2 linked regions of the Callithrix jacchus genome follow. The protein of the gene in region 2 binds, or shares a complex with, the protein of the main gene of each other region. Links are inferred from orthologs where the notes say so. Each region holds a gene or a part of one and is shown on either strand. Other genes may lie near its edges.

Region 1 (4,255 bases), on a different chromosome or scaffold from region 2:
GCCTGGTGACCACTAAGTGCCTCTGGGGGTCCCACTCCAGCTGTGTGACAACTGTTTCCTGGTAGCCCCCTGGGGAAGGAAGGGTAGGTGGAGTCCAAGTGAAGTGCTCCCCTCCCCAGTTTTCCTGGGCTAGACTCTTCCTTCCTGTTTCACTTCAGAGTGCCATGAACTGCCATTCAGAATCGGGCTGGCATGCCATGATGACATAATCTGATCTTGCTATTCCAGCCCTGCCCTGCATAGAGTGGACTTAGAGAGAAGCTGGGGAGGGAGTGGAAGCTACCCAGACAAGGCCTCTTGGTGACATGGAGAATGGGAGTGACCCAGGAGACCTCAAGAGCCATTTAGTTCAACCTCCCACAGTAATATTAAATAGATTCCTACAATGCAACAGGTGCTTTACATACATTCTTTTGGGTTCCCACAACCTTGGAGGTGGGGTTTCACAGGTGTGAAATTGGAGATTAAGACGAGTAATTTGCCCAGGGTCACACTGCCAATAAAGGGGGGCCTACTCTATGTCGACCAGGCAGTAAAGTCTGTGCCCTTGCCTTTAGAGGATGCAGATGTGAAAACTGCAGACCAGAGCCTTTCATTCAAAACCACACAAGCTGACCTGAGACAGAAACTCAGGCTCCTTACTATTGATCAAGGAATCTATATATTACGTGGCCTCTTCTGAGGTCAGGTGCGGGGCGGCCAAAGATGTGGCCCCGTCCAGGGCAACCTGGGCCAAGCATGACTGAGAAGAAGGCAGGCTCCGTTCTGGGCCCTCCAGACCCTCACCTCGGCCAGTGTGAAAAGCGCGCTCCCAGGAGGGCCCGGCAGGGCAAAGGGCCGGGCCAGTCCGTTTCTGGAGGAGCCAATCTGGGGCCAGGGCGGAGGCAGCCAAGTGCAGTGGAAAAACCCGGCACTTGGGGTCAGAATATCTGGGTTTCGATCCAGTCTCCGACCCAGCAAAGACTTACAGCAAGTGACTTACAAGTCCGAGTCTCCTCATCTGCAAAACTGGGGCAAGGGTAAAATACCCTTGAAAGGCACAGAAGCGAAAGCTGGAATCGTTACGCACCAAAGTTCTATCATGCAATCCGTCGCGTCACGGTGCAATTTCCAACAGTGCGGCCCCGGAGAGGCCGGGAAAGGAGCCAGGAAAAACTACAACTCCCAGGAGGCATCGGGCGGGCCGGCGCGGGATGGTGATGTCACGAGGGCCGGCGCGGAGCTCTGATTTGGCCGGAGCTGCCAACGGGGAGGCTGCCGCCGCGGGTTGTTACAGCTGCTGGAGCAGCAGCGGCCTCCGCTCCCGGGAACCGTTCCCGGGCCCTAGATCTCCTGCCCCGCACGGTGAGCCCAGACGGAACCAGAGGGCCCCAGGGCTAGCGGAGGGGCGGGAGAGAAGGTGGAGGCTGCTAGGGAGGCGCCCTGGGCTGGAGAGACCGGGGCAGAGTGAGTGGGGGTAGAGGGAATGCATCAGCCGAGGGGGTGCAGCGGCTGGGGACGTGGCCAAGGAAGAAAGTACGAGCCGCAGGCCGGTGGTGGAACGTCGGCGAGGAGTGCTTCGGCTAGGGGTGGGAGGCGGGGAGGGGCTGGGCTTCGGGGATAAAGGTTTGGCTGCCTACAGAGCTGGGTGAACCCGTGGAGGTGACGGTGGGGTCCCGGACTCGACCGAGTTCCGAGTGCGAGGTCCCAGGCTGGGGAACAGAGCCGGACCCCTCCCCCCCGACCCCCCGCCGGAGGTCTTACTGAGGAAACCCTAACAACAGTGAGGACTCCGCCCCTTTGCTCCTCCTCTTCTCGGCTTAGTGCGGGTTCGCCTTAGCACAAGCTTTCCGCTCCCACCGCCCTCCCCCAGTCGGGATGGCTGGGCCAAAGTTGAGAGGTGATCGGCTGTGGTCCTGCGGCTTGCGGGGTGGGCGGAATGGAAATGGCATTGTGATGTGCTGCCACGGATTCCCCATTGGGGGTCCCCATCCAGTCCTGCATGTTTTGTGCTCCTCATTCAGAAGACAGGAGGTTTGCTGTTGTAAGGGCTGCTCTTTTCTGGGGGAGGGAATGAAAAGGGCTCACCTGGTGGCTGGCCTGGTGCACGATCAGCCTTGGCTTGAGAGTCTGGCATACTGGCTGGGCCCGCATATTTGCCTGTGGAGCCAAGGGGGTGGGGAGGGAAGGAGGGGAAAAGAGCTATCAGCAAAAAAAGTGGTTAACAGAACAGAGTTGCTGCAGGCTCTGGTTTGAGGCAGGTTATGAAACCACATCAGGGCCTGGCACTAGCAGCCACCTGCCAGCTATGGCAGCAGAACTTTTCAGCTTAGCTGCTGTAGACCGCTGCCAGCCTCTTCTCTCTGTTTCTCCTCATCTAGAGTGGGGTCAGTTGGTTGTTTTACTAATGGAAGTGATGTGTGCCCATAGTCACACGAAAGTCTCCAGTGTTTTTTGGCTGCCGGTTCTTGTCTTAGTTTATTGATCCCTTTTTTTAGAGGTCTCTGGTGGTTTTCTGCTCTCATGGCACCTAGTGTTTAGGCTTCAGGAAGAAGCATCTGAGGGTATCGGCTAGGATCTAAGTCTGGGCTTTTCCTAGGTTTGTCAAGTTTTGTTGGCTGCCCTGTGAAAGCCGGAAAGGGGTATGGAGTCTTGTGATCTGGGATTCCACAAGGCTTTTGGCACTCCAGCACAAATACTAGGAAGGGTTAGTGGGCTTTCTACACCAACAACCCGTAGGGGTGGGTAACAGAGAGGTGATGGGGTGGCAGTTTCCCAGGTCAGACTTGGGAAACTCTCCCTCTCCTTAATCAGAGGTAATTCCTTCAGATCCCTCACTTCTCAGCTACATGTTGCCCTCCCCTCTAAGGTGGAGGCTTTTGTGTAGTAGCTGTCCCAGGGGCTGCTAGAGTAACTGAAGCCCCGAAGCCCTGGGAAGGTAAACAGTCAGGGCTAGCTCTGGCTTTTTAGATACTTGGATTTCTGTGTGACTCAATTACCCAGCCTAATGGGCTGCGCTGATGGGTCCCAGGAGTGTCACTTTACCCAGAGCGCACCCCAGGCCAGCGCAGGGGTGTTTGCTTGTTGGGATGGTGTGTTGTGGGTCATGGTTTCCCTGAGATCTCTAAGTATGGAGCTGTCTGAGAAGAGGACACTTGCTCCTGTTATCCTGGAAGTAAAGAACTGACCCCTGAGGATTCAGGCTTCTGTGCAGGTTTGGCTAGGATCCTATCAGAGATAGATGGCATCTGGGACTGAGGTGTCACCGCAGGGGTGTGAGGGAGGTGGCTTTCTGGGTACTTCTAGAATATCTCCATCTGGGACTAGGAAAGATGGAGCTGTTACCATGGTGATGACCTTATGGTCTTTAGCAGGCAGGACCCTACCTCAGATGGGAGGTGAGCCAGTACACAGGCGCCATCTGTCCCCACCTTCTCCTGATCACAGGCCCCTCAGGGATCTGGGGACAGCCAAGCTCTGGACAAGGGGCAGATCATTCCCCTCCCTTCCTTCTCTACTTCCCCTGCTCACTGTGGGTTGTGGCTGCCTCCTGGTTCCTCCTGCCACAGGTCTCCTACTGTTGGTGCTGGGCAGGGGAAGGCATGGGCTAAGGTACACCTGGAAACAGGTGCTGAGGGAAACTGAGGTGAGGATGGGCAGGACAGAGAGGAAGGGGGACAGGAGGGAGGCCACAGGTTCGGGTCTGTGCCCTTGGGAGGCATATATTGTTGCAGGTTCCAGCTCTCCATGGGAGCTCTAGGTGTTGGCCACGTTCTCTGTCCTCACCCCTCTTGTGGGGAAAAGGGCCCTGGTGGTTTGGCAGCAGAGTGGGTGGCATCACAAGAGCTGGCCTGAGTGGCTGCCAAATGGAAAAAACATCTGGATGGGTTGTTTTGTGTCACCCAGAAGGGGCGCCTTCCAGATCTGGGCAGAGGTTGTCCCTAGTCTGTTGTTTTCTCATTTCTTCTCCCCCCACCGCTCCCTTTTTCTACCGAATCAGTCCTCCTAAGTTAGGGTTTGGGGAGATCCAGAATTGAAAAAACTAGAGGAGGTGAGCGGAAGCAGTGACCTCAAAATAGTTCATCCACTGCTGCCTGTACCCACAGACCCCACTTCTTTTCCCTCCTGATGGGAAGGGCTTCAGAGGAGACATCCCAAATCAGAGAGCAAGTCCAGCAGGGGTCATGCTGAGTGAGAACTCTCTCCTGGGGCCTTTGTCAGCAGAGAGCCCTCATGGGAATGCTATAAGGGGTGAGGCTGGGGGATGGGCCTTGAC
Region 2 (4,523 bases):
CTGTATGCTTTATGGGCTCTCCAGTTTGAGCATCTATGAACTTGAACCTAAATATCATTAGGAATACTGCTGTTCTTTCCTTGAGCCATAACATCTTTTCTGAGCTTCAATTCTATTTGAAGCTTCTAATTCACAATTTGAAAATATGCTCTACCCTCTGAGTAGCTTTTTTTTTTAAATTGCATTTTAGGTTTTGGGGTACATGTGAAGAACATGCAAGATAGTTGCATAGGTACACACGTGGCAGTGTGATTTGCTGCCTTCCTCCCCTTCACCTATATCTGGCATTTCTCCCCATGCTTCTCCCCAACTCCCTACCCCTCCTGCTGTCCCTCCCCTATCATCTTAATTCTGTACATCTGACTGCCAGAAATGTGAGAGAATAAATCTCTGTGTTTCAAGGCACCCAGTTTGTAATCACGTGTTAGAGCAGCCCTAGGAAACTGTTGCAGAGGCCAAGAAAAGTGCAAAATCAAGCAAACCCATGGTGTATTCCTTCCAGTGGTCTACTGCTGCATAACAATCCCAAAACAGTGGCTTAGAACAATAACAATCGTTTATTTTGCTGACACATTTGGCTGTCAACTGGGCTTAGCTAGGCATACCTCACTCAGGGTCTCTCAGTGGTGGTAACCGGATGGCTGCTGGAGCTGGGGCCACCTTGAAGGTGTCATCCCTCACATGTCTGGTACCTGGACTGGTAAGACTCAAACAGCCAAGGGCTGGGGCAGCTGGGGACCCTTAGTCATCTCTTCCCCACTCTATGTGGTTCCCAGATGATCTTTCTTTATGGCAGTTGCATTCTCTTATAGAAGCTGCCACAAAGATACGCCCAGCCTTATGTTATTAAAAGTAAAGGTATTGGTAGGGCGCGGTGGCTCACGCATCTAATCCCAGCGCTTTGGGAGGCTGAGGTGGGCAGATCACGAGGTCAAAAGATCGAGAGCATCCTGGCTAATATGGTAAACCCTGTCTCTACTAAAAATACTACAAAAAAAAAAAAAAAAAAATTAGCCGGGCGTGCCTGTAGTCCCAGCTACTGGGGAGGCTGAGGCAGGAGAATCACTTGAACCTGAGAGGCGGAGGTTGCAGTGAGCTGAGATCGCGCCACTGCACTCCAGCCTGGGTAAGAGGGCAAGACTCCGTCTCCAAAAAAAAAGAAAAAGAAAATAATAATAATACAAATACAAAATTAGCCAGGCGACGTGGCGCATGCCTGTAATACAAGCTACTCGGGAGGCTGAGGCGGGAGAATAGCTTGAACCCGGGAAGCAGAGGCTGCGGTGAGCGGAGATCGCGCCATTGCACTCCAGCCTGGGCAACAAGAGCGAAACTCCATCTTAAAAAAAAAAAAAAAAAGTAAACATATTGCAGTCATTTTAACACTGCACCCAGCTGATGGCCAAGTGCAAGGGTCTACTCTCTCCATCCCGAATCCAGCAGGGGGCGGAATGGACATAAGGTAAATAATTTCTGGAGATACTTTCCTGCATCCCACCCGATGCCGCCCGGCCTCCCGTCAACCAGTGCGCAAGTGCGAGGAGGCGGTGCCCAGCGCTCCACCGCCCCGCCCTCCGCAGAGTCGAGGACGTCACTGAGCAGCGACGCGCACTTTTAGGACGCGTTTGCGACCCGCCTTCCGGAAGGAGTCCTCAGCGGCTAACTATGGCGACCGCCACGGAGCAGTGGGTGCTGGTGGAGATGGTACAGGCGCTCTACGAGGTGGGCTCCGCGCTATGAGCGCCCCGCGACTACACCTGGGCCTGGGGAGGTTGGGACGGCGCGTGTGGATTTATGGCCTGAGACCTCAGCGGGACTGGCTTGATCACGCCAAGACTCGGCGTCTCTTGCTGGAAGGAGTGCCGTGATCTTCCAGTCCCAGCGGCTCAGTATTAGGGAGGAACGGGCCGGGGCTGAGACCGAGGGTCTCGGTTTGAGTTCTTATGCTCCGGGTCCCCTCGAGGCTCGGGAAAGGAACACGTCTAAGAGGACGCGGGAGCCAGGTCTGCCAAAACCAGACGTTCGATAAAACGGAGTGGTGAAAATGAGTGAAAAACCTTCCTCTGGGAAGGTCCTAAGGCGGTCAGTTCCTTGGTACTATGAACAGTTAATTGGGGAATATAATTGTAATAAATTGGAGTTTGGTTTTGTCGAAAATAAACCAATTTATTTAGGATTTGTAAATAAATTGCCATTCTTCCATGAACATTAGTTTTCTGTCTTACAAAGTTACAATGATTTTAGTAGATTTTTATTTTTATTCTATTTATTTATTGAGATGGAGTTTCACTCTTGTCCAAGCTAGAGTACAATGGCGCAATCTCAGCTCACCACAACCTCTGCCTCCCGGGTTCAAGCGATTCCTGCCTCAGTCTACCAAGTAGCTGGGATTAGAGGCATGTGCCACCACGCCTGGCTAATTTTGTATTTTTAGTAGAGATGGGGTTTCTTCATGTTGGTCAGACTGGTCTTAGACTCTTGACCTCAGGTGATCCGCCTGCCTCAGCCTCCCAAATTGCCGGGATTGGTCACCGCGCCCTGCTGTAGATTTTTAAAGGAAGAATAGTTAAGAGTTTTTTTGGAAGGCTAGTTATTTCAGATACATAAGATAATATGAAACCAGAATGTCAGTCTTAGTATTCATTCATTTATAAGATTCCCCACGCTGTTCCTCAGAGCTTTCCGAATCTTCTCTGAGCTATTCATTAGGCACTTATTTTTATTTTTTTTTTTTGGATAGGGTTTCACTCTGTTGCCCAGGGTGGAGTGCAGTGGCGCAATAATCTCACTGCTGCTTTGACCTCCCAGACTCAAGCGATCCTCCCACCTTAGACTCCCCAGTAGCTGGGACCACATACCACCACACCCAGTTAATCTTTTTTTTTTTTGTAGAGACGGTGGTCTTACTATGTTGCCCAGGCCGGTCTTGAACTCCTGGCCTCAAGCAGCCCTCCTGCTTCAGCCTCCCAAAATGCTGGAATTACAGGCATAAGCCACAATGTCCAGCTGGAACTGAATTTTTAAAACTTAAATAGCCACTTGTAACTAGTGACTGTCCATGTTGGACCACACAGATCTAGATGCAAGGGATAGTGCAGTGAACAAACAGGCACAAGTCCCTGTGCTTACAGAGCTTACATTTATTTCATGTGAATTTCACATTACTTTTGATGACTTAATATCACAAAAATTTATCACTGTCTACTGGCAGGGGTAATGATGGTGTTTCCATTGCAAGACGTATTGGGAATTTTATCTTGAAACGTATCAGAGGGAGCAGATGTGGCTCTCTCTTATCCTCAAATATTAAGTGATGTCCAGTATTAGGTTAGAGTGACCTAAAATGAACGACTAAAATTGAATGATCTTTTTTTATATATGTTTTTAAGAAATGGATTTTCTATTAAACGTTGTTCCCTTTTTGAAGACTGAAGTAGTGTAACTTCATATTTCAAAATTGTCCAGCAGGGAGACTTGGGAGAACTCCTGTATGTAACATTTCCTGGGGAGAAAAAGAAGTGGTGTTTGTGATTTTTATTAATTCACTGGTCAGATAGTTTCTCAAATTTTCTTAGGGAGATTTCTTTGTGGAGTGGGCTCTAACTAGTGGCTTGGGCAGATGTTTGCCTGCTAGAATCCAACTATTTAGAAAACTAAAAGGGTATTTAGAAAACTAAAAGGGTATTTAGATTTATTCATAAATGAATTGTATTCAGGGGGATCAGCAAATTTTAAAACTCATCCTAAAGAGAAACTTCTTATTCCCAATTTTTATGCACATTGAACGTAGAATTTGAGTAGTCTTTTATGGTGCCCCCAAAAAAGAAATAAGCACTGAAATTAAATAATCTGGTAGTTTATATTGTTTTAAATATTGAGATTCTGTGTTAGATTTTTTTTTTTTTTAGTTTTAATTTTTATTCCCAAAGAAGTTTTGAAAGCCAAAAATATTAGGGGTTTTTCATGTGAAGGAGAAATTGCCTGCCATTAGAAATGGGGAAAGGAATAAATAGAAATTAATGGAGCTTTGAAAGTAAGTAGTAAGAATTAATAGGCTAAACATCATGAGGGGCAGTATATGCAGGTGTGGTAAATTTTATATGCAGATTTTAGAAATGTATGTTTCATTTCTTATTTGTTTTTAACTCACTCTTAGGCTCCTGCTTACCATCTTATTTTGGAAGGGATTCTGATACTCTGGATAATCAGACTTCTTTTCTCTAAGACTTACAAATTACAAGAACGATCTGATCTTACAGTCAAGGTAAAAAATTAAATCTCTGTTTCATTATTGGGTATAGGATTATAGTTGCTATGTCTTTCCAGAAAGGATTTGTGGTGGCTCAACTATGTGTGTTAAAACATTTTCTGTAATGTAAGGAAATCAAGGGGAGTGAAATATTAGGGTAGGCAAAATATGGGGAAATCTAGAAATAAAGTCAGTACCCAAATGCAGAGCATATTATGGTCTTGGATACTTTGCTAGGAGTAAACAGCAGTCTTGGAAATAGATGGTTAGAGGG

What was found. The genes of interacting proteins can lie anywhere in the genome.
Region 1: the proteins of SPTLC1 (region 2) and ORMDL3 are in contact, whole or in part, in a cryo-EM structure (PDB 7K0N), measured with the Homo sapiens proteins. The link is inferred for Callithrix jacchus from reciprocal best matches to the Homo sapiens genes SPTLC1 and ORMDL3. Residues at the interface, in NP_006406.1 of Homo sapiens: Ala16, Leu17, Ala20, Pro21, Tyr23, His24, Leu27, Glu28, Leu31, Ile32, Trp34, Ile35, Leu38, Leu39, Ser41, Lys42, Thr43, Tyr44, Lys45, Leu46, Gln47; in NP_001307730.1 of Homo sapiens: Gly92, Val93, Gln94, Phe95, Thr96, Ala97, Lys100, Thr103, Ile104, Ile107, Tyr110, Phe111, Ser114, Tyr119, Gln121, Phe124, Thr128, Leu131, Met132, Leu139, Pro140, His143.

The regions. Positions count from the first base shown.
Region 1 is NC_133506.1:120,349,479-120,353,733, reverse strand, and holds the start of ORMDL3 (ORM1-like protein 3), read left to right. Parts: upstream 1-1,226; 5' UTR 1,227-1,344; intron 1,345-1,850; exon of another isoform or gene 1,851-2,023; intron 2,024-4,255. UniProt on the Homo sapiens protein: Plays an essential role in the homeostatic regulation of sphingolipid de novo biosynthesis by modulating the activity of the serine palmitoyltransferase (SPT) in response to ceramide levels.
Region 2 is NC_133502.1:96,796,788-96,801,310, reverse strand, and holds the start of SPTLC1 (serine palmitoyltransferase 1), read left to right. Parts: upstream 1-1,641; 5' UTR 1,642-1,665; coding exon 1,666-1,722; intron 1,723-4,156; coding exon 4,157-4,264; intron 4,265-4,523. UniProt on the Homo sapiens protein: Component of the serine palmitoyltransferase multisubunit enzyme (SPT) that catalyzes the initial and rate-limiting step in sphingolipid biosynthesis by condensing L-serine and activated acyl-CoA (most commonly palmitoyl-CoA) to form long-chain bases.